4 linked regions of the Schizosaccharomyces pombe genome follow. The gene in region 2 interacts genetically with the main gene of each other region. Each region holds a gene or a part of one and is shown on either strand. Other genes may lie near its edges.

Region 1 (6,374 bases), 3.1 Mb from region 2:
AAACCTGGAGACTAGTACAAATAAAAGCTGTTTATTAGCAAAAGGTTCATTTAAAGAAAAGATACGTTACATATACTGATATTACATATATGGTTAATCACAATTAAAATACAATAAACAATCAACCGAACAAACACAAAAACGGTTAAAAGATGAAAGGAATACATTTCTAATCATAGATACTAGGAAAAGGATAAAGGTGATGGCGAAACAAGTCTGTAGAGTTATGTAACATTCGACTAATCATGCTTTATTTGGTAATATTGGCGGAATTTAAATCATCATAGGTTAATCCATTCTTTGCTGTTCACGTGCTACAGCATCGGCCATTTCCTCGTCATTATAGATGTGAAATCCACCCTCAGCGGTAACTTTGGCAAGTTGAACATTTTTGGAATCAAGCTTTTCTTCCATTACTTGTCGAAGTACTTTGAGAATCAATACTTCAGCTTCCTCGAGAGTCATATCCTGAACGACATTGTTAGTTTAACAAAAAAGGAAAAAGATAAAGCAAATAAAGTTAATACGTACTTTGTGAAATTCCTTCACTAGTTCGCTTTTCGCGGGTTCACTACCTGAACCAATAGCTTTAGCTTCATAACGGAAATATGTACCTGAAGGCTCAGAGTGGTATCTGTATAGGAAGTTAGCATCTTAACGAATTACAACAAAAGGAATCCAAACAATGGCAGGTGTACGAAGATAATCAAAAAACAAAAGCATTAACACAATAGCCACATCGTTCCATAAAAATAAAATAATTTTGACTTACAGTTGAGGACCATGCTCATCTATTCCAGCAATTAACAAAGCAACACCAAACGGTCTTGACATGATGCGTTCTTCGCCATCTTCTCCTTCACCAAAGCGAAGTGCGAGATCACAAATTGACTGGGTAGTACTTTCTATACCTTGTGGTTCATCATAGGTAAAACGATGATTTTGTGTTTGAACTCTAGCATGTTCAATAATTGTACGGGCATCAGCTGTTAGGCCTGAAATTGCGCAACCAATGTGTGAATCAATTTCAAACAGCTTTTCAACAGAATGAGATTCCATAAGTGGACTAGTTAATCTCTTTTCAACACCAAGGACGACGGCATCCTTAGTTTTCACACCAATAGCAGTGGATCCTAATTTGATGGCTTCGATTGCATATTCCACTTGAAACAACCGGCCTTCAGGAGAAAAGGTATTTACTCCTCTATCATATTCTAAAGATTAGCTTAAGAAACTTGTACAGTTTACTTACCTGATCTAGTCATAAACATTTTTAAAAGAGAACGTGTAAAGTAGTAGTTGCTGACTGACCAAAACCCAGCCAAATGATAATATCGTTAATATTCCCTATAATACGTTGCCTAATATATCGTAAACCAGATTATTCGTTACACTCCGTTATTAGTGAATATAAAAATTAAATAAAAATATGTACAGAGGAGAAAGGTAAACAAATGTTTATAATAGGTATATTGAAAATAATAATTCGAATTTGAAGATAAAAAAAAAACGAAACTGACTAATATACACGTTTCATGTTACAATAATTGATATTGTAGTGTAACCAAAAACAATCCAATAGCTCAATAGCTTTGGAAAAGAACGGAAAATATTATCCTTCATCTAAATTATAGAGTTTTTAAACTGCACGACCTACGACAATAGATAGCCAAAAGGATAGCAAGGAAGTAGCGTTTTGATAGGGCATTTGACGAATTTGGGAAGATACAAGGAAAATTAAGTCTTCTTTGGTTTCAGTTGAAAATCCTTGAATTGAATTCAAATAATTGGATAAGAATTGCTTTTGAGCAGCAGGAGCAAGAACACTTACTAAACTGATTGAAGCTTTATAAAAAATAAGGGCGTTGTCAAATTCATATCGTATAATTGGCTGAAACCATTTCAATAAAACATCTGTGAAATAATAAGCTATTTCGATGTTATAGTATAACCTTACTCTCGAGCAAAGGATGCTCTTCAGAGAGTCGAGATTCAACGTTTTGGTAAGCAAGAAGAGACACCTAGCATGAACATAAATGTCATTGTCTAGATAGTCTTTTGGAGAGCCCTCATTTAGATTACAAAAAAGACACGCATACAGCGACGCGTAAACATAATGTTTGCATAATGTAGATTCGTCAGATTGAGATATAAGTTTTTCAGCGAAACTAAGACCTAATGATGATATTTCTTTAGCAGTGGAGCTTAACGTTATAACTTTCTCGTTGACTGTTTGCTTTTCTAAACGTCGACATATGAGATTTTGCCAATTATTGATAAAACTCAAAGTTACCAAAACTGGAGAGCCTGATAGCTTTTGTAAGTCTACATATCCCTCGAGTTGAATTGAATCTATAATGGCTTCCCGCACAGTTTCCGAGATAAACTTGGCTGGTTGAGCAACACGACTCAAGCATGTTGTTATTACAAAATCCAATGTAGACCATGATGATGCAACAAAAGAGAATAGATACTCCATATGAAACAAAGTCAAAATAATATACTCACATAAAGATCGGTCTGCAGCCAATACATTGCTTTTACGGTACTGAGATTTTGCCAATGATTCTAAAACCATAATTATTGAGAAAAAATTTTTTTTAACAAACTGATGGTCATTATATTTAGAATCAGAGGAACGACTTTTCCAAGAGGGAATCGCCTTGTCAATTAGAGTTATTAACCTGCATCATTTAGTCTTCCAGAACAGTGAAGTCAAACACTAACCTTTTAATAATGCTGATTTGCTGATAAGTTGATAAGCGTAATAACAGATGGCACAAAACAGCTGTAGGCAAGGAATCCCGCTTGTGTTCAGTATCCAAATAATTGATGAAACCGCTCCAAACAATTTCTTCCCATTTCTGAGACAATTAGTATAAAGTTTTTTGGAGTTCTATATTTACTGCTACTTACCAATAAATGAGGGAGTAACGAAAATGCATCAAAAGAAATATCGCTCGCTGATGAATCGACAGATGCAAAAAGTTGTTGCAGTAAAAAATTGGCTTCAAATCCTGAAAATTGATGCGTTTTTATCTGTTTTGATAAAGCTTTGCTAACTGCTCTTTTCAAGGGGTATTGTAAGTTGACGATATGATCGCAACTCAATAGTTTGTAAAAAACGCAAAGGAGACAAATTCTTCGAAAGCAAAGAATTTCATTGCTTGCATCTACCTCAAGAATGCCTACAATGCTTTTCACGAAGGATGAAAATGGCAAACCGTTATTCGTTACCTTTTTCCTGCTTATCAATTCAACCCAAAATGCAAAGTATTCAGAACGATGCTCATTCCAATAGTCCCATATTCTACCGCAAGCAATCAATTGTGCTACCACCAGTCGAAGGTTCTGTTCATTATGTAAATTGAGTAAGACATAGTGTGTCTCCCATAGGACACTTGGATTGTTAACAAAATGGATTAAAAACCACCGGACTTACGTTTCTAAAGATATCGAGTCCTCTCGTAACAGAAGAAGCACGTTGTTAATGGCTTCTTCCATAATTAAAACGCAGTGTTCTGGAAGCCTTATTATCTTTCGTACGATCACTACCACAGAATCAAACTGCAACTTATAAATTGACTTATACGGAGTTTTCTCATTTCATTAATTACTTTAACAATCACCATATAAGCTGCTGAGCATATAGCGGCGGCCATATCTTGCAGCATGGCGTCTTTTGTCAAATTTGCCAATACGACATTCTTAGATGCGCGATTTCCCCTTTTCAAGAATGTGTCTTTTGAACTAGCTCGAAAGCAAAATTGGGCCATTATTGGAAACACTGGAAGTGGTAGGACTACATTCTTGCGCGTATGTTTTGTAATTTATGCGAAGTGTTTGGAGTAAAAATGCGCTAAAGCTTTAGCAATTCATCAAATTTACTAAATCAGCTTTGTACAATTCATTTTTGTCCCTTAGTCGGAAACCAAACACTTTTTATTATCATTAATTACATGGTAGTAACTTTACTAAATTGCTAACTCAATACAGTGTATACAAGGTTCCTTTACACCCTCACCCTCCACTAGTTTTTCATATCCATTCTTGAAAGGCAAATCTGATAGCCCATGGCAAGCAATCCAATTGCTTGATTTTAAAAGTTCTGGACAGCAGCGTGCCGCATACTACTCTGAAAGATATCATTCCTTTAGAGACAAAGAACATGACACTACATTGGAGAAGTGGCTTTTGGGCGCTTATCGAGGGAATGAGAAGTTTGCTTCTCAACATGTACAAGAGGCCGCATCTATGACTCAGTTATCTCATTTACTTCCTTCGAGTTTAATAAATTTGAGCAATGGACAATCTAGAAGAGCGATGCTTGCATCGAAACTTGTGCAAAGGCCGCAGCTTCTTTTACTTGATGAACCTTACGGTACGCTGGCCACTAAGGGGTGCAATTTATGTTAATACAATTACTAACAGTATTTTTTTTAGCTGGACTTGATGTTACTTCAAGATCTGTTTTGTCTTCACTTTTAGGTGAAATGTCAAACCATTGTTCGCCAAAGATTGTACTTTCCTTACGTCCTCAGGACAAAATTCCCGACTTTATCACACATGTATTGGAATTGAAAAATAAAAAAATCACATATCAAGGGCCCAAGGAACAGTATATTCCTATGACCAGTCACTCAACTAACATACCTGTCAAGCCCCAGATGAAAAAAAGCAAGCCTATTACAATAGGCAAGCCTTTAATTTCCATGGAACATCTCAACTGTGTTTACTGGGGACGAAAAGTACTCTCTGACATAAATTGGACTATTAGAGAAGGAGAAAGATGGGCTTTAACAGGTAGCAATGGAAGCGGTAAAACTACACTTTTAGCATATGTAGTTGGAGACCACCCCAAGTTATTTGCTAGCAATATTAAATTTTTTGGAAAAAGCATTGGGCCCGGCACTGGAATTTCTATATTCGATATCCAAGAAAACATAGGGCATTGTGTAAGTCTATAAAAGTAAATAGTCTTTAAAACTAACGACTTTTTAGTCTCCAGAGATACACAATCATTTCCCGAAGCAACATACATGCTTTGAAGCTCTTCTTAGCGCCTGGAGCACCACCTTTACCATCCCAAAGTTAACCGAAACTCGGTTGGCAGCAATTAGTAGCATCTTAGAGGAATTTGAACTAAAGGATATTAAAGATAAACCATTAAGCAGTATCTCGGTTGGCATGCAGAGATTTATTTTGTTTTGTCGTGCTATTGTCAAACAACCTCGCTTAGTTGTTTTGGACGAGCCTTTCCAGGGAGTAGATACCAAATATGTCCATATGGCGCATAATTACTTAAATGAAAAGCTCTCTCCTTCCCAAGCCATGGTTATAATTTCTCATTACGAAGATGAACTCCCTGCCTGCGTAAATAGAAGGGCTCACATTGATAATGGAAAACTTGTCATACATGCTTGATGATGAACATCCCTATTGAATGTGTATAATTCTTCGACTCCTTTCTAGGATTGTTTTTTGATTGACCCCAAAAATTTGAATTATTCATCCCAAATTGTATTACCAATCCGATAAATTCTTAGAATACTTAGTGTTTCACGCCCAGCTTTTCTTTTTAAAGTCTCATTAACAATAAACCCATCCTTTTGCAATATTTCACAAATAGAGTGTAACTTATTGCGAGCAACTGCAACCATGTAAAATACTCCGTCTTGTGAAAGTATATCCTATCCATAAATGAGTTATTAATGTAAATATAAAGGTCTGACCTTACCTTTAATTGGTTTAACAAAGTGCTAGTGACATCCATACCATCGGTACCACCAGCCCAAGCCGAAGCAATAGTAGCAGCTTCACTTGGTATTTCTTCGAACTCGGTAGGAACATATGGAGGGTTGAATATTAAAATATCAACTCCATTCCCGAGTCTAATTCCGTCAAGGAATGAAGTTTGTACGGTAATGAACAACCCATTATCGTCCTTATACAACTCACGATTATTCAGAGCAGTTATCTTACTAGCACGACACGCAGAATTTGAGATGTCGGACATAAAATGAACTAGACATCAGCATATTATATTTTGTGGTTTGCAACCGTACCAATTGGCTTGTTTTTCAAAATCCCACTTTTTAAAAATGAGGATGCACAGCCAGATCCGCAGCTGCAGGTTAATATCTTCACGATTTAACCAAAAACCTACCCAATTTCCGCTGTTAATAAGTTTTTCATTTCAGCCATTTGGCGCAATTTTTTGGCATCCTTTTCAAGCGCATCGAGCAAAGCAAACGTGTCCTCTAAAAGTGTAATTAGCAAGCTTTTTTGACCTTTTATAACATACCAGCTGGTTCATAAACATCTTGAAATTCTTTTAGACGCAACTGGGATGTAACTGGGGTCGAAAGCATTCG
Region 2 (4,467 bases):
ATAACAAGCCTCTTTCTCTTTCATCAACAGCACCTTCGATGCCTTCAATTGGTTCTGTGGAGTTGGGAAATATGATTCCTAAGGAAACCCAGCCGCCCTCAATGCGAAATGATTGGAAAGATTATTTAGATAATAATTCCAAGGAAATTCTCGATCAATTTGGTTTTTTACAAAAACGACCAAGTCACGACACCCCTTTATGTCCGGAGGACATAAAATTAAATCAGAAACAGACTCTGTCGTTCTATGAAAGCAATTATGGCTTGGTTGATGATTTTTTTGGCAACGAGTTAGATGGGCTCAACGATTCTCCATTGTTGCTAAATAAAAAAGATATTTTATTGGATATGAAAGAAAGTACCCGACAAAAAAACTGGAGCTTGTTTTTTCAACGCTTGTACAAAAAATATAAAATTACCGATGAGGATACAATTGGTTTACTAGGAATATCTAGCATAGGTGTTAAAGGGCGTCATGGTAAAAAAAGATGGCATAAATTTCGTGAACTTGTGAAAAATGGTGTTCCTTTGTGCTATAAAGCTAAAGTTTGGTTAGAGTGCTCAGGCGCTTATCAATTACATTCACCTGGCTATTATGAAGAACTATTATCACGTACTGATGAGGTTGAATCAGCGAGTGTTGCGCAAATCGATATGGATATTAACAGGACTATGGCTAAAAATGTATTTTTTGGAGGAAAAGGACCTGGAATCCCGAAATTACGACGAATTTTAGTTGCTTATAGCCGCCACAATCCACACATAGGCTATTGTCAAGGAATGAATGTTATTGGTGCCTTTCTTCTTTTATTATATGCTTCAGAAGAAGACGCGTTTTATATGCTAATGAGCATAATTGAAAACGTTTTACCTCCGAAATACTTTACTCCTGACCTGATGACTTCGCGAGCTGATCAGCTGGTTTTGAAAAGCTTTGTGAAAGAGTCATTACCGGAAATCTATTCCCATTTAGAATTACTTGGGGTTGATTTGGACGCCATTTCATTTCATTGGTTTTTAAGTGTATATACTGATACACTCCCTACGAATGTACGATAAGTGGTTTTGAAAGATTATTAAAGTATGAATTGTTTACTAACTACTTTTTTTTAGATATCTTTTAGAATATTTGACATGTTGTTTTGTGATGGTTATGTATGCTTATTTAGAGTTGCACTTACGATTCTAAAATCTTTAAAGCAACAAATTTTAGCATGCAATTCCTCTTCTGCCATCTACTCATTTTTGAGTGATTTGGTTCAATACTCTTTTCAACCCGATTCGTTTATTAAAGAGGCTGCTGATCGGTGGTCCAAACTTGTTACGGAAAAGAGTATTGAACGGAAACGTAACTTGGCTATTTCTTCGTTAAACTTAGCGGTCAATTATTGAGTTCTTTGTTTTGTTTTACTGGTTTGATTCGTGATCGTTGGTAAGTTATGATCTTTAATAAATAAAAAAGCTTTTTGTTGCCTCATGGGCATCTTATTCATTTTTATGTTGGGTTACTCATGAATATAATTTTTTAATGTTTTCCATCACTGTATACTATGACTGGGTTATTTTAATGCTGTTTCAGGAGTCCATTTCATTATAATTTGGAAGTATAGAATGTAAAATCTTTTTTGAAAACTCTTGTATGAAGCTAGGCAATCCATGCATAACTTTCACTTATAGTTTTTGATTTGTTTGGTTTAATAAACATAGACAGATTCTTGCTCTTCATATATTTTCCTGTATGCTATATAAACATTGCTCTTACGGTTTGTGAGGTACAACGATCGATAACGCAGTCGGTTATATTTCTAGTATATCATAAGTGTCAGTGTCTCAGTAATGTCATCCGGTGTACTTTCCGCCATACACAAAAATATCAGTGGAATTGAATTGTATTGCGACCGACTCGTAGCACTTTCAAAAGCAAATGAATGAACTTCATGATGGTGAGAGCTCTGAGGAAGGAAGGATCAATGTTGAAGATCACCTAGAAGAAGCTAAGAAAGATGACACAGGACACTGGAAACATTCCGGCACTGCCAAGCCATCCAAGTTTCGAGCCTTCATAAGGCTGCATTTTAAGGATAGCAGAAAGTTTGCTTTTTCTCGAAAGAAGGAAAAAGAATTGACGTCGGAAGATAGCGATGCTGCAAATCAATCACCTTCTGGTGCACCTGAGTCGCAGACCGAGGAAGAGTCTGATCGCAAAATTGATGGCACTGGTAGTTCCGCAGAAGGTGGTGACGGGAGTGGTACTGATTCAATTTCCGTAATAAAAAAATCGTTTTTTAAAAGTGGGAGGAAGAAGAAAGATGTTCCCAAGTCGCGAAATGTTTCTCGTAGTAATGGTGCTGATACCTCAGTTCAGCGAGAAAAGTTAAAAGATATTTTCAGTCCTCATGGGAAGGAAAAAGAATTGGCTCATATTAAGAAAACTGTTGCAACGAGAGCGAGAACATATTCTTCCAACTCTATCAAGATATGTGATGTTGAGGTTGGTCCATCTAGCTTTGAAAAGGTTTTTCTACTTGGCAAGGGAGATGTCGGTCGAGTTTATCTTGTTAGAGAAAAAAAGTCTGGCAAATTTTATGCCATGAAAGTTTTGAGTAAGCAAGAAATGATTAAACGCAACAAAAGCAAACGAGCTTTTGCAGAACAGCACATTCTTGCGACAAGTAACCACCCATTCATTGTTACACTTTATCATTCTTTTCAATCTGATGAATACCTTTATTTATGTATGGAGTATTGTATGGGAGGTGAGTTTTTTCGAGCTTTGCAACGACGTCCTGGCCGTTGTTTATCAGAAAACGAGGCCAAATTTTACATTGCAGAAGTTACCGCTGCATTAGAATACCTCCACTTGATGGGATTTATTTATAGAGATTTGAAGCCTGAAAATATTTTGTTGCATGAGTCAGGACATATTATGCTTTCTGATTTTGATTTATCTAAACAATCAAACTCTGCCGGTGCACCAACGGTAATTCAGGCCAGGAATGCACCATCCGCTCAAAATGCTTACGCATTGGATACAAAATCATGTATCGCAGATTTTCGCACAAATTCATTTGTCGGCACAGAAGAGTATATTGCTCCAGAAGTTATCAAGGGTTGTGGTCATACAAGCGCTGTTGACTGGTGGACTTTGGGTATTTTATTTTATGAAATGCTATATGCCACGACTCCTTTCAAAGGTAAAAATAGAAACATGACTTTTTCGAATATTTTACACAAGGATGTTATATTCCCTGAATATGCGGATGCTCCTTCAATTTCCAGCCTTTGCAAGAATTTGATTAGAAAATTATTAGTGAAAGATGAAAATGATCGCCTTGGGTCACAGGCTGGTGCTGCAGACGTGAAGCTTCATCCTTTTTTTAAAAATGTCCAATGGGCTCTATTAAGGCACACTGAGCCTCCGATTATTCCAAAGCTTGCCCCTATTGATGAAAAAGGCAATCCTAATATTTCCCATCTAAAGGAAAGTAAAAGTTTGGATATTACTCATTCTCCCCAAAACACACAAACAGTTGAAGTTCCCCTATCTAATTTATCGGGTGCAGATCATGGAGATGATCCCTTCGAATCGTTTAATTCAGTTACTGTGCATCATGAGTGGGATTAGGTCATTTTCTTTTCTTCCTGTAACTTGCATATTGATGGTAATTTTTCGCACGTCTATGATATTTTTCTCATCTTTTTGTTTAATCAATCCATTATTAAAAGAGCATTTGCTGACTTCATTCATTGCATATATTGATACGTTGTTGAGGCACAAAATATTTCGCTTAACTAGATTCTCCTTTTCACCACAAAGTCTTTCTTTTTTCTACCTTACTTTTACCAGATTCAGACATGCTTTCTCTATTTTCAATAGGAAGTTAAATAAACTTCTAGACAGAATATAACATATACCATTCTAATAACATATTTTGTAAAATAACCAAAAACCACCTTAACAAAATTACCATTAACTAAACCGTCTCTATATCGTAAACGATATGTGACACTCGTGGTGAAAATGATTTGACACAATTTGTAACACAAACTGTATTTTTAGCCAACATTTTTGAAAAACATGAATTCACTTCAGAAGAGTATGTTTCGATATCTTCATCTTTTACGTTCTCATGAACATGTATAAAGGAATGTGATTCTCGCTTTAAAATTGAAGTAGCGGTTGACCAGGATTTTTCACTAGAGGGGAGCATTCCCAAATTTATATGTCGAGCAGAAATATTCATTTTGGAGAACCTTTCAGCTGCATAAACGTTGCTTTCCAAAAAAACTACAATACGATGAGTTCCTACTTTAAATTCATAGTTTTCTCCATTTCGAACTACATAAATAGACCAGCCATTTTTCAAAGCAGCTCTCCTTAACGCTTCAACACTCCATGGATTAATTTCCCAGCAAAAAACTGTTGAAGCTCCCGCTTTAACGTAAGAAAATGTAAAGTACCCTATAC
Region 3 (5,771 bases), 670 kb from region 2:
GTACGAGCAAATGCATCATATAACAGACAGATGAAGCTTCTAATAATTCATTGTAGGATGCAATAATGCAAAAGTGCGTGGTATTCTCATAGCAATAACGTATATGTTCCCAGACTTAAGGATTCCTTTATGTGTTGAAACAAAGGAAGCGTTAAAATTCATAGGATCGATCATGAGATGAATGGTAACAACAAATGCTACCATAGTTACTTTTGTGACACACCTAGGCCAGCAAAATAAACAACCAAAACGTTGTAATACACTAACTAATGTTTTTCAAAATCATAGACGAAAAAAAAAGTAAAGGACAATAGCCGAGGTTAAGTTGGTAAAGAGATTGTCCAAATTGCGATGGAGAGTGGTTATAAAGAAGAACTAAAAGGGTGGAAACCCCAGCAAGGATATTTTGATTTTTTTAAGGCTTACAAATATTCCACAGAAATTCCAACCCTTCTACTTGGAAGAAATGACACGAGAGAATTCTTCGTAGTTGATTACACCATCGCCATCGGTGTCGGCTTCACGTATCATATCGGCTACTTCTTCTTGAGACAAACGTTCACCAAGACTTGTAAGCACATGAGTCAACTCCTCGACTGTAATGTATCCATTTCCATCTTTATCGAAGACTTTAAAGGCTTCGCGAACTTCCTCTTCGTTGTCGGTATCCTTCATTTTTCGGGCCATCATAGTCAAAAATTCGGTAAAATCAATTGTGCCATTACCATCGGCATCGACCTCATTAATCATATCTTGTAATTCGGCGGCAGTAGGCGATTGACCTAACGATCTCATAACTACACCCAATTCATTGGACGTGATATTTCCATCCTGATCACGATCAAACAGTGAAAAGGCTTCACGGAATTCTGCAATCTGCTCATCTGTAAGGTTACGGGTAGTCTGTAATAATGTACGATACGGTAGACGACTTCAGAAATCATTTTCTGAGTGTCATCCGTTCATACGATTGTTAGTCAATCTTCAAAGGAAAAATCGGAATATGTCCAAACAATATAATAAACATACCATTTTCTGGTAAAAATCAGTAACTCTAAAGTCCTTCTATTCCTTTTTTTAACCTTTATTTTTGGCGGTTAGTGTTTTGCTCTAGTTACGTTAAAGTGCCTTGGAGAAATGAGGACTACCGTTGTCGCTTCCTAATGTTGCAAGTCCTACCATCAACAGTGATGTCAACAAACAATGAGAGTTTATTACATTATCGTATATGCTCTAACAAACCAGTAACGTACTTGCTATAAACCGCACTAAAACCACTAAACGGCGGATGAAGGAACTTTTTCAATGTCAGCTACGCATTTATTGGTATCTATTTAACGACACCTAGAACTGCCGTGTGGTTTACTTGTGACCTATTGTATTATGGTACACAGGTAAATACATTTAGTAACTTAGAATGATATTCTGATATAGAGGTTATATTGTTACCTATCACCGAATTAGCATAAAAGTGAATAGAGAAACGAGGTTTTGTTTATTTCAATTCATAAAATTTAAGCATTCTATTATTTTTTTTGTTATTCATTTTATAACTCTTAGTAATCTACCTAAGTAACTTATCATGTACAGCTTGACAGAGCAAATCAAACATGTGATAATTAGTGATACACAACGTAGTATGCTATAGCGCAACGGAACGTTGTCGACATTCAACTTATATATCGTACTCGATGTTTAAATCGCAAAAGGATTTAACAAAAAATATTTGTAAATGCAGTATTTGGAAATGGTTATTACAGCGCAATTTTTTGCTGAATGTAAACAGAAAATCGTGTTTTTCACTTTCCTCTATGAGGTTGAGTTAGTGATATTATTATTCATGATATGAAAATATTGTTTTCATTTTGATTTATGGAAAATTAATTATTGAGCAGATTTACAAACACTGTCACGGTTTAAAGTCTCCAAATAATTGAGCAAAATGACATAGCTTTGAAAAATTTGCTAAACAAAAGCATTTTTGATAAGTGCAGTTCATTAAAAGGTTTTTTTGCACGTTTATTATGAATTGCATTTTTGTTGTGTAGCATAATCTGCTTTTGTATTTTTTGTATATGCCAATTTTGATCTGATAATTTTTCTAGTTGAACACTCAAATGAAGAAGGAAAACTGAAAAAGTAAATAACAATATATTATTCAAGCAGGATTTCATTGCCTGTATATATTTCGATATTAATTCTTTTCTAAATGATTTATTCAATGTATAAAAATCCAGAACCTCAACATCTGATACAATGACCGTAGCCGAATTTATTGATTTTAGTCTGAACGGATATTTTAATCGAATAAACAATATTTGTTGTTATTGATGTAACACAAAAAAAAATAAAAAAATAAATTCAAATTGAGCATTTTTTTGTCTTTAATAATCATAAATTTAGACGTCTTTTGTTTTTAAAGATTTTATAGTTTATTCTCATAATTTTAAATTTTTGCACTTCCTGTTTAAAGACATCTCTACAGAATGACCATGAAAATTTGAGTATAATTCCTTAAAAGATTCAAATTTATAAATCTCAATTGATTTAATAAAATGCTGTGAAATGGGAAGTTTAACTTTTAATAATTCGAGGTACTCATATCCTTCATAGAAAAAAAATAAAAAAATAAAAATAAAAATAAACATATAAAAAATAAAATAATAAGAATGATCGAGAATTTAAAGTATTTATTGTTGAACTCTATCAGTACGTGTGTTTGAATATTTTCCTACTCAATTCATCTCGTAATTTTGTTGTGCAACTACAATAAATTCCTTATTGAACCACATACCTTTTTAGTAGACTGTAAAAACCATCAAGTGAATTCCAAATGGATAGCTGGGGTAAGCTATATATGATTCTACATGTTTATTAACTGAAATGAAGAGGACTTTTTAGTAGAAGATCCTGCAAAGCCTGCAGAGTTTGATTTCCCCTTAGGGAAGGATAGTCAATCCTCTTCCAAGCCAAAAAAGAGATTTGACGACGAAGAGGATGAAGATGAAGAAGAAAACAAAGAATCCTTGCAAAATGATTCTCATTCAGTATCCCAAAAATCCTCTTCATCTAGCCAAAATGATCAAGGCTCTAACAAAATGACTCGTATCCAACAAAAAATTCAGGAAAGAAATTTCGAAAAAGCCATTAAAGCAAGTGAAGCAGCTGCGAAGGAAGAATCACTAGAAAGTTCCAAAGAAGCTATGCGACAAGCCGAAATTGACTCTGACTTGGCAAATGCCATGGACTTGTTTGACATCGTTGATAAAAACTCAGCAAGTGCAAACCGCTCCAAGCAAGCTGATCAACGACAACTCAAAACAAAAGCCGACTATGCAGCTTTCCAAGCTGATATTTTGAAGAAGGTTAAAAATTGTCAAACCACTGCCGAGTATAATAATTTTGTGCAAGATTTAATCCCTTTATTGCTTACCGGCCTTAATGCTACCAATTTGAAGGCAGTTCAGAAATCAGTGAATAAACTTGTAGTCAACAAAGAGCAGCAAGAAAAAACTCAATCTAAGAGAGGTGCCGCTGCTCCTGCTGCCAAACCAGTATCAACTGCAGCTCCTTCTAAGAAAGGAGGAAAACCTACGGTCAATGTTAATTCTAAAAAAACCGTTGCTGACAAGTCCGCTTACGAAGATTACATTGAGGATGAGTATGATGACTATGCGGATGACTTTGATGACTTCATGTAAGCCGATTTGTTTTATACTGGGTCTTTTGGTATACATTGTTTTTTATTTCTCTGTAAACGGATTATGCGTTGGGGATGTTTAAGACTGTCTGGCTTCTTTACGATACCAACGATACCGATGGTTGGGAAAGTAATTTGTTCTGCACTTGTTACATTCTTGATTCTTTCTTCTATTAATATACGATAGCTTATAATGGAATATAAATGTCCATCGCATAACAAATTTCTTAAATTTAATCATAGATAACGTTGAACATGCGGGCTAATTCAGAAATAAGATGTTTTACAGTTTTCATTCCAACATATCCATATGCGTAGCCACTTTGTGAAGATCAAAATCCGCACCTTTACTAAATGCGGCAAGTAGTGCGAGTCGTTCTTTGCCAAGTGGTGTATTTTCGGAAGCATTGTAAAATTTTTGAATTGCCAAAACCAGAAGCTGCACATCGTTTGCCGATAATTTCTTTGGTTCGAATTGGCACCGCATGAGTGTTATTCCCTTAAGATTTAGTAAGTCTGCAAAATGAAGCATTATAGTATGAGGAGCAGCATAAGATCCCTTCAATTTATACTCCAGTAAGGATGTCACAAGGAGATGAGCTTCATTTTTATTTGGAAAATTCCACTGAAGAAAGTGACTTTCAATCCCTTTATCACCTCTCGGTAACGGGAGCACGAAATATGGGTACATTCTTGCTCTACTTAACATTTTTTCGTAAATTTCTTTGGGAATGCAAGCGCTTAAAATGTCATCCCCAATATTTCTTGCCCTCCATAATTTTTCTATAGTCGAAGTAGGAAGTTCCTTGATTTTTTCAACATCTATGTAACGATTGAGCCCACTTAAGTCTGATTTCTTAGCATTTTGCCCAACTAATGATTTTTTTGCGGAAAAAGATTTTTTGGGAATAACATGTTCTCTTTCTTTCGTTTGCCCCTTTTTTAGAAGGTTTGTAACGGGCATGTGAAGTTCTTCAGCCTTAGATTTTAGTTTTCTTTCATATCGTTCATAAACAGTATTTTTCTTAACTTCCAAATCATCGTTATTTGATGTGTGATGCGCAAAACGAACCGCATAAGCAGAAGTTCTTGGAATAGATTTAAAAGAATGGCAAAGTAAATGATTGACTGGAAGTTTCCATATGGGAAGCATACTAGATGAAATGAATTAAAAAAAGAGAATTGACAAAAATGAAAATTAAAAAGAAAAAGAGATCTGTGGAATCGCGATAACTAATGTGTATCCGTGTATATTGCTAGTGGTAAATAATACCACTCTATGAGTATAAAATGTTCTAGTTATTTAACTTTACATCTTAGATTTCAAACTCCGTTCATTTCAACTATTTATTTTTCTTAATATTTTGCTTTAAAAAAATATTTTAAAAAGTATCTAAAGAGATAACTACAAAATTGTTCATGCCTGCGTTTAATATCTAAAGTGACCTCCTATCCAGAAAAAACAGGCATATACAAATAAGAAAATTCCTTTAGTACTTAAATAGAAGAAAAAAAAAAGTAGGATCTTTAGGCAAGAATTTACTAAAATGCTCTTGTTTATCTAAATCAAAGTATTTAAATTCGCAAGATTACAATGAAAAAGAGTAACGAGAAGTAACGAAATTCATATATAGTTCACTAAGAACATTAACGCACTGTACGACATAAACCTGCAAATACTTCATCGTTTCCCTTTTAGACTTAACTTTTCAAAAACAATGTCAGAAAATGGGTTAGAACAAGAAGTCACTGTTGAGGAAAAAAATAACGATGTTACAGAAAAGATTTTGGTAGAGGGGGAAAAATCCAAAGAGTACGAAGAAACCCCTCGAAAAGTGAAGATTGTCAAGCGCAAAAAGCAACCTGCGCGCAAGCAAATTGAAACTCGACCAGAGTATGAAATGGAGCCCGAACAACCTGGACAAGTTTACAACCTGTAAGTTTATATTTAATTGCTTTTGGATTGGGAATTGCTGACTTTTTAGGTGGTACAACAAGTGGAGTGGAGGCATGCGACAGGATCCGTTAAAAAGCCAAGTAAAGTCAGAAACGAGATGTGTAATATCCAGGG
Region 4 (6,962 bases), on a different chromosome or scaffold from region 2:
CCCACGAGGTTACCAATTCCCAGTTTGGTCGACATTCATTCCTATATTCGTTTTATGCTCGGATTATAAGGAATCGTCGGACATATGAAATTTTCATATATAAGCAGTTTGCCGAAAGGCCATAACCACATTTGTTGTAAACAAGCAGGTAGGTTTCTCAGCAGTCAGGCGGATTTGAAGAAATATTCAGAATCACTATGCTTGCCAAAGACTTCGTTTCCTATTAAGCCAAACGTTAAAGGAAATAATGAAAAGTATTTCAAATCCATCACATCAGACCTGTATGAATGGCAGAAGGAGAATTTGAATAAAGAAGATTCTTTCGTGCTATTAGATGGGCCTCCGTTTGCAAACGGTCGACTGCATATAGGTCATGCTCTAAATAAGATTTTGAAGGATATCATCAATCGTTGGCAATTGCTGAAAGGCCGTTCTGTGCATTATGTTCCTGGTTGGGATTGTCATGGTTTACCAATCGAGTCAAAAGCTATTAAAGCAAACGCCGAGCGTAAAAGTTCTCTTGAAATTCGAAAGATTGCTAAAGATTTCGCAAATTCGGCCGTTCAAGAACAACTCATGATGTTCCAACGTATGGCTGTAATGGGAGATTGGCCTTCTAGGTACATCACCATGAGTGACAAATTTGAAATAGCAGAGCTTAAGGTTTTCTTAAGTTTGTTACAAAAGGATCTTATATTTCGTCAAAATAAACCTGTTTATTGGAGCTCTTCAAGCAGGTCCGCTTTAGCTGAATCAGAAATAGAATATGATGATAATCACGTCAGCACGTCTATCTACTTTACGTTTCCGGTGAACAGTTTTTCTATCGATGGATGTGAATACAATAATGTAAAGGCATTAGTTTGGACAACAACTCCCTGGACCATTCCTTCAAACCTTGCATTATCTTACCACCCTGAAATCAACTATGGTCTATACCAGCACAATAATTCGATTTATTTAATGTCTGATAATTTAGTTCCAAACTTGGATTTTATGCAGGGAGCTAAGCGTCTTGCGAGTTGCCCTTCAGATATTATTTCATCATTTACATATGAGAACCCTCTATTACCGAAGCAAAGCTTTCCATTTTTACAATCTAACTACGTTACTAATGATATCGGTACTGGTATAGTACATGTCGCTCCTGGCCATGGAATGGAAGATTATCTTCTAGGACTGGAAAACAATTTGCGTCCTTTTTCACCACTCGATGATTATGGTCGATACACTAAAGAAGCTTTGGATGGAAGCCTTGAAGGATTGGAAGTTCTTGGTGATGGAGGAAAGAAAGTAATAAGTATTATGAAAAATCAAAATATGATTGTTAAGGTCTCTCCTTATAAGCACCGCTACCCTTACGATTGGCGAACACATAAGCCATTAATTTTACGGGCGACCCCTCAATGGTTTATATCATTGGAGAATGAAAGGAAAACTGCCATAAAAGCACTTGATAGTGTAAAAATGATTCCTCCAAATTCGCGCGCCAGACTTCTTGGTTTTTTGAATGGCCGTCCTGAATGGTGCATTTCTCGCCAACGGGCATGGGGTTTACCCATTCCTGTATTGTATGAGAAAGGAACTAAAATCCCCCTACTAACTGTGAAAAGTGTATCCTATATCATTGAGAAAATGGAAGTAGAGGGAGTTGATTCTTGGTTTAATGATACTGAAAACAATGGGCATGCTCAGTGGGTTCATCCGGATTACAGAAATAAGGAGTATATTCGTGGCACTGAAACACTTGATGTATGGTTTGATTCTGGGACTAGTTGGACTACAATAGCACCTCGTAAGAATAAACCGCTCATTGACCTTTGCTTGGAAGGAAGCGATCAACACAGGGGATGGTTTCAGTCACTTCTTCTCACATACACTGCCTACCAATCAAAACCAGAAGCACCGTTTTCTACTTTGTTTACGCACGGATTTATCTTTGATGAAAGAGGTCAGAAACAATCCAAGTCTTTGGGCAATGTAACCGACCCTGAAGATGTAATAAACGGAAAGCTTTTAAAAGGAAAAAAGCTTCCATATGGTGTTGATTTACTGAGACTTTGGGTTGCATCATGTGACAGTACGAATGATACTAACCTGGGACCGAACATTTTGACGCAAGTTGGTGAATCCTTAAAAAAGTGGAGATTAACATCCCGATTTTGTCTTGGGAACTTACATGACTGGAATACCTCGAGCTCAGTTGATGTTGGTGAATTACGTGGTATTGATAAGTTGGCTTTAGTCCAACTAGATAAATTTCAGACTGAAATTCGAGAACTTTATGAATCATATTCAATTAACAAAGTTGTTCATCATCTCAATTATTTTATGAACTCTTTCTTATCCTCTACATACTTTGACGCCGTAAAGGATCGTCTGTACGCTGATTTACCCAACAGTGTATCTAGGAGAAGTGTTCAAACTGTCCTTTATCATTCATTACTTACGCTCATTTGGGCCATTTCTCCCATTACTCCACTTTTGGCACAGGAGATTTGGCAAAGCTTACCCGATAGTTATTTGAATTCTTCTTACCAAACTCCTTTTCACGCTGGAGAAACACATCTTATAAGCAGCTTAAGGTCAAAAGTTGATTTACTTGATAGAAAATTTTTAATTAAGGAATACTTGGTTCTTCAACAACTTAAGTATAGTATTAATTTGTTGATTACCGCAGCTCGTGAAAATCTAACTATTAAAAACTCATTAGAAGCTTATGTCGTTATTAAGTCAAAATCTCAATCTTTATTGAGTTTTTTAAAAAATTACTCTTCCGACCTTCCTTTTCTGTTCAATACATCGAAGGTATTTATTAACGAAATTCCCGAAAATCTGAAATTAGCTTCCGTTACACAACCTGAAGTTCAGTTGGATTATGGGGTTGCAAATATCTCTTTATTTTTTTCAAATCAACAAAAATGTCTACGTTGCTGGATGCATACAGCTCATGAGGACGGATTATGTGACAGATGCGAATCTGTTTTGGCCCAACTGAAACGCTAAGAAAAAAGCTGAACGCTCTTTATTATGATAATTTTTGTACCATAGTCATTTATTTTTGTAATACTTAATTAAAATCAAGCGACAATTCATTTTTTGTATTATTTTATTTTACTGTAACATTAGTAAATAAGGAGACATAGTGAAGGCCATAAGTTTGGGTGGTTTTGGGGCTAACAGTTGACCTTCGCAAACTAGCAAAATGTCAAAACGCGGTGCTGATCATCAGTTAACTAAGGATCAAGATGATTCTGATGATGACCGTCATGGTCCAGTTGAAGTTCCTAAGGAGGCCTCCGCAGACGTGATGGCCACAAGAAAGTATGTAACGATGAAACATAGTTCTTCAATTTTTTAGGTACTAATGTATTAGAATTGCAAAGCCAAAATCTAGAAAAAGACCAACGAGCGGTGTTTCTTCTCCGGGAATTTTTGCAAATTTGGCAGCAAAACCGGTGTCTTTACCTGCATCGACTACGCAATTTACATTTGGAAAACCCGCGGTTACAGCTAATAATGATTCAGATATTCACTTGAAAAAACGCGGTCTTAATAAATCATTTATTGACGCTGTTATCAAAAGTGTTGACAATAATCCCTTTGGTAATTTGAGCCCTCTGTTTGATGAATACAGGCAGCATTTTTCAAGTATAGAAAAAAAGCCAGCAGAAGGTAATGCGTTTATAGTTAGTACTTCATTTCTTTCTAACGTTTTCTTAGAACAACCAACTTCAAATGCTGTTGTGTCTGAGGTAAATCCTCAGCAACAAAAAAGCCAAGATTCTTCTTCTTTTGTTACAGAAAAACCAGCTTCTTCAGAAAAAGAGGATAAGGAGAAGCCCCTTGTTCCCCCCGGTGCTCCTAGGTTCGGATTTTCTGCTCCAGCGCTTGGTAGCTCTTTCCAGTTTAATTCATCGGCTTTTACTCCTAAAGGGTCATTTGGTGAGAAGTCCGCAACAGAAGCGGAAGCGAAGGAGAAAGAAACATCTTCTAATCAAACTGCCACTGGTACTGCCGCTACCACAACCAACCAGTTTTCATTCAATACTGCCGCTAATCCTTTCGCTTTCGCTAAGAAGGAAAATGAGGAATCAAAACCATTAACTCCCGTGTTTTCTTTCTCAACGACTATGGCTTCTGCGGATGCTTCAAAAGAGACCAAACAAACCCATGAAACTAAAGATTCAAAGAGCGAAGAATCTAAACCCTCGAACAATGAAAAATCCGAGAACGCCGTTGAACCTGCCAAGGGAAATACTATGAGTTTTTCTTGGACTCCTGATAAGCCTATCAAATTTGACACACCTGAGAAAAAATTTACATTTACCAATCCATTATCGAGCAAAAAGTTACCGGCCTCTTCGGATGTGAAGCCTCCTAGCGCTGCGGCTGTCGGCTTTTCATTTGGAACTACTACTAATCCGTTCTCTTTTGCTGCTCCGAAATCTTCTTTTCCTACTTCTTCTACTCCAGCTTCTGTTGGCGCTGAAAAAAGTGAAGAAACTTCTAATGGAAACAAATCAGAGCAAGAAGAAAAGGAAAACGGAAATGATGAAACTCGATCGAATGATTCTCTAGTTTCTGGTAAAGGAAAAGGCGAAGAAAATGAAGACAGCGTATTTGAGACAAGGGCCAAGATATACCGTTTCGATGCTACTAGTAAATCTTATTCTGATATCGGGATTGGTCCATTAAAAATTAACGTAGATCGTGACACTGGCTCTGCTCGCATCCTTGCGCGTGTCGAGGGAAGTGGAAAACTTTTGTTAAACGTTCGTTTGTGCCAGGATTTTGAATACAGCCTGGCTGGTAAAAAGGACGTAAAAGTACCTGCTGCTTCTACTGATGGAAAATCAATTGAAATGTATTTGATTCGTGTGAAAGAGCCTAGTACTGCGGAAAAGTTATTAGCCGAATTGAATGAGAAAAAGGTCTCAAAGTCAGAGAACTAGAAAGCAGTGATTGATTCAGTCACTATTTATTCCTTTATTTTTGGTCTATTAAATGTACATAAATCTAATAAATTTTTCGGAAATATATTGTCAAGATTATCAATTTAATACTGTCATTCGATTTTCATTTGTGGATAGGGATATACACAATCAGTCTTTTACGAAATGTGCATACAAATATGAAATTCCCGGAAGCATACATGCTCTCCAAGTACATTGCCTTTATGGAATATTAAATTGGTTAAGCTAGTCATATCTTTTCTTTTTAAATTTACGCAGAACATCAAAGTTTTACGGAACTGATTTAATTATCCTAATTTTCATCTTATGAATGATTGATAAATTTTTGAGTGAATTTTAAAACTGTTGTATATCGCCAGTGATATATCTTGAATTGATTGATTCAATAATCGGTTTCGTTATTAAATTACTTTTGTCTATATATTGGTTCCGGATTTTCAAACACCTGCCTAGCTTTTAGAAGGGTCAAACCCCCTTATTGAATAAGTATCTTGGCGCGAACTTTTAATAAAATAAGCAAGTAAATGAGCCACTATCAATTTCGAATTGTTAGTTTTTTGAAAAAAGTAACTTCAACAAATACGTTTGTAGCGAATTTATCGCTTAAAGTTGATTTTTTTACTGTAATTGAATACTGTATTGGACCGGCTATAATTAACAGCTTAATTTTACAAGTTAAGAGTTATAATCGATAAGTATAAATCATTTTAGGGTATCAATTTTTGACCATTCTAACACCTAATTTTTTGCATGTTTATCATAGTAAATACCCTAAAACATCCAAGTAAAAGCATAAATAATGACTACCAAAACGAGCCCATAAATAAATTTTTTAAGAGAATGAAACAAATTGTTCTAACCGAGCTTAAAGTATGAAATATTGGCTTAGCAATAATTAGATTCATGACAATTCGGATACTGATGAACTTTAACTATGTTCAAAATTTTGGGATTCCTCATCCTCTTCATCTTCTGATATATCCTCTTCATCGACTGGGTAAGTGAGAATGGCGGCAATACCTGACAACAGATCCAGCTGCTTCCCTGACTCATGCAAACTACTGAAAATATAAACAGGACAGTTAATCTCCTTAACACCTTCTACTAATGAAACCCATTTTTTTCTAGTAGCAATGTCAGAACTCCTGAACAGAGAATCGCTAATCAGAAGTTCTCCGATCGCGCCAAGTTCAAAAGCCTTCAAAACATGATTTGGACCATACCATGCCTTTCTATCATCTTCATTCATGACATCGTAAAATTTATTCAGAACGCGAATTTCTTGTACGTATTTTGTGTCGGCTAGTTTTGATTCAACAGCAGGGTCCTTCAAAATTTCATTAAGGGAATGAATATGACCAGTGCTAGAATGAAGGATGACAAATTTATTCTTTGATTTAACAATTTGTTTCAAGTCTAACTTCACGGCCATGCTGAATATGTAGTCATACAAGCCTCGAGCCACAAATCCTGGTGAAGCAAGAATAACGACTTTCAATTTATCAAAATCAAATTCTGAGTTAATGGATTGAAAAACAGAGTCATAAAATTTATCAAGGCCCTAAAAAATTGATCAGTACGGACGAAAAATCAAAGTCTAAAAATTTACCTTTTGGTAAGCGCTGCTGTCCCCTCTCCGTTTCCTTGGAATCACTTGATCAATCCTTTGACGCAGGATGGTCATATAATCTGTAATGAGACAAATATTGGCAAGACCTGCAAGTCAGTAAACATGCACGAACTAATAAAGCGATGTAAGCCAAGAAATTTACCTTCATCTAAAACCACAGCACCTATTTCAGCATTTCTTGAAGGATTACAAGCAGCATCTACACGGTCCAATGCAAATGCATCCCATTCATTTTTATATAGAGTAAAATTGCGATGTAGTTCTAAGTCCAAGGTATGGTAGGATCCCATCTTAACTTCAGGATGGTATTCAGTTGTCCGTCCTTTGATGTGCAATTGAGCAGCCTTTGTATCAAA

Evidence for each region.
Region 1: mutations in ppk14 (region 2) and pex8 together harm fitness more than expected from each alone (negative genetic interaction), as found in Schizosaccharomyces pombe (one large-scale study listed by BioGRID).
Region 3: mutations in ppk14 (region 2) and tif310 together harm fitness more than expected from each alone (negative genetic interaction), as found in Schizosaccharomyces pombe (one large-scale study listed by BioGRID).
Region 4: mutations in ppk14 (region 2) and nup61 together harm fitness more than expected from each alone (negative genetic interaction), as found in Schizosaccharomyces pombe (one large-scale study listed by BioGRID).

Annotation. Positions count from the first base shown.
Region 1 is NC_003424.3:3,909,101-3,915,474, forward strand, and holds pex8 (protein Pex8), read right to left. Parts: upstream 3,524-6,374; 5' UTR 3,505-3,523; coding exon 3,443-3,504; intron 3,401-3,442; coding exon 2,917-3,400; intron 2,865-2,916; coding exon 2,728-2,864; intron 2,685-2,727; coding exon 1,640-2,684; 3' UTR 1,435-1,639; downstream 1-1,434. Other genes in the region: proteasome core particle subunit alpha 5 Pup2, read right to left, coding at 289-468, 532-634, 773-1,214, 1,253-1,271; SPOM_SPAC323.04 (ATPase), read left to right, coding at 3,673-3,816, 3,997-4,381, 4,444-4,955, 5,002-5,424; eRF1 methyltransferase Mtq2, read right to left, coding at 5,505-5,690, 5,738-6,024, 6,066-6,127, 6,167-6,260, 6,305-6,371.
Region 2 is NC_003424.3:768,700-773,166, forward strand, and holds ppk14 (serine/threonine protein kinase Ppk14), read left to right. Parts: upstream 1-1,840; 5' UTR 1,841-1,923; coding exon 1,924-3,624; 3' UTR 3,625-3,967; downstream 3,968-4,467. Other genes in the region: SPOM_SPAC4G8.04 (GTPase-activating protein), read left to right, coding at 1-1,049, 1,113-1,391; tRNA 4-demethylwyosine alpha-amino-alpha-carboxypropyltransferase Trm12, read right to left, coding at 3,974-4,467.
Region 3 is NC_003424.3:1,440,191-1,445,961, reverse strand, and holds tif310 (translation initiation factor eIF3j (p35)), read left to right. Parts: upstream 1-2,780; 5' UTR 2,781-2,833; coding exon 2,834-2,846; intron 2,847-2,889; coding exon 2,890-3,701; 3' UTR 3,702-3,992; downstream 3,993-5,771. Other genes in the region: calmodulin Cam1, read right to left, coding at 454-903, 1,030-1,032; F1-ATPase chaperone Atp11, read right to left, coding at 3,993-4,853; zf-CCCH type zinc finger protein, Prp19 complex subunit, RNA-binding Cwf2, read left to right, coding at 5,419-5,636, 5,686-5,771.
Region 4 is NC_003421.2:729,465-736,426, reverse strand, and holds nup61 (nucleoporin Nup61), read left to right. Parts: upstream 1-3,185; 5' UTR 3,186-3,205; coding exon 3,206-3,324; exon of another isoform or gene 3,325-3,376; coding exon 3,377-3,675; exon of another isoform or gene 3,676-3,723; coding exon 3,724-4,955; 3' UTR 4,956-5,556; downstream 5,557-6,962. Other genes in the region: ism1 (isoleucine--tRNA (Ile) ligase), read left to right, coding at 85-3,006; dom34 (translation release factor eRF1 family protein), read right to left, coding at 5,905-6,537, 6,586-6,692, 6,749-6,962. UniProt on the Schizosaccharomyces pombe protein: Functions as a component of the nuclear pore complex (NPC).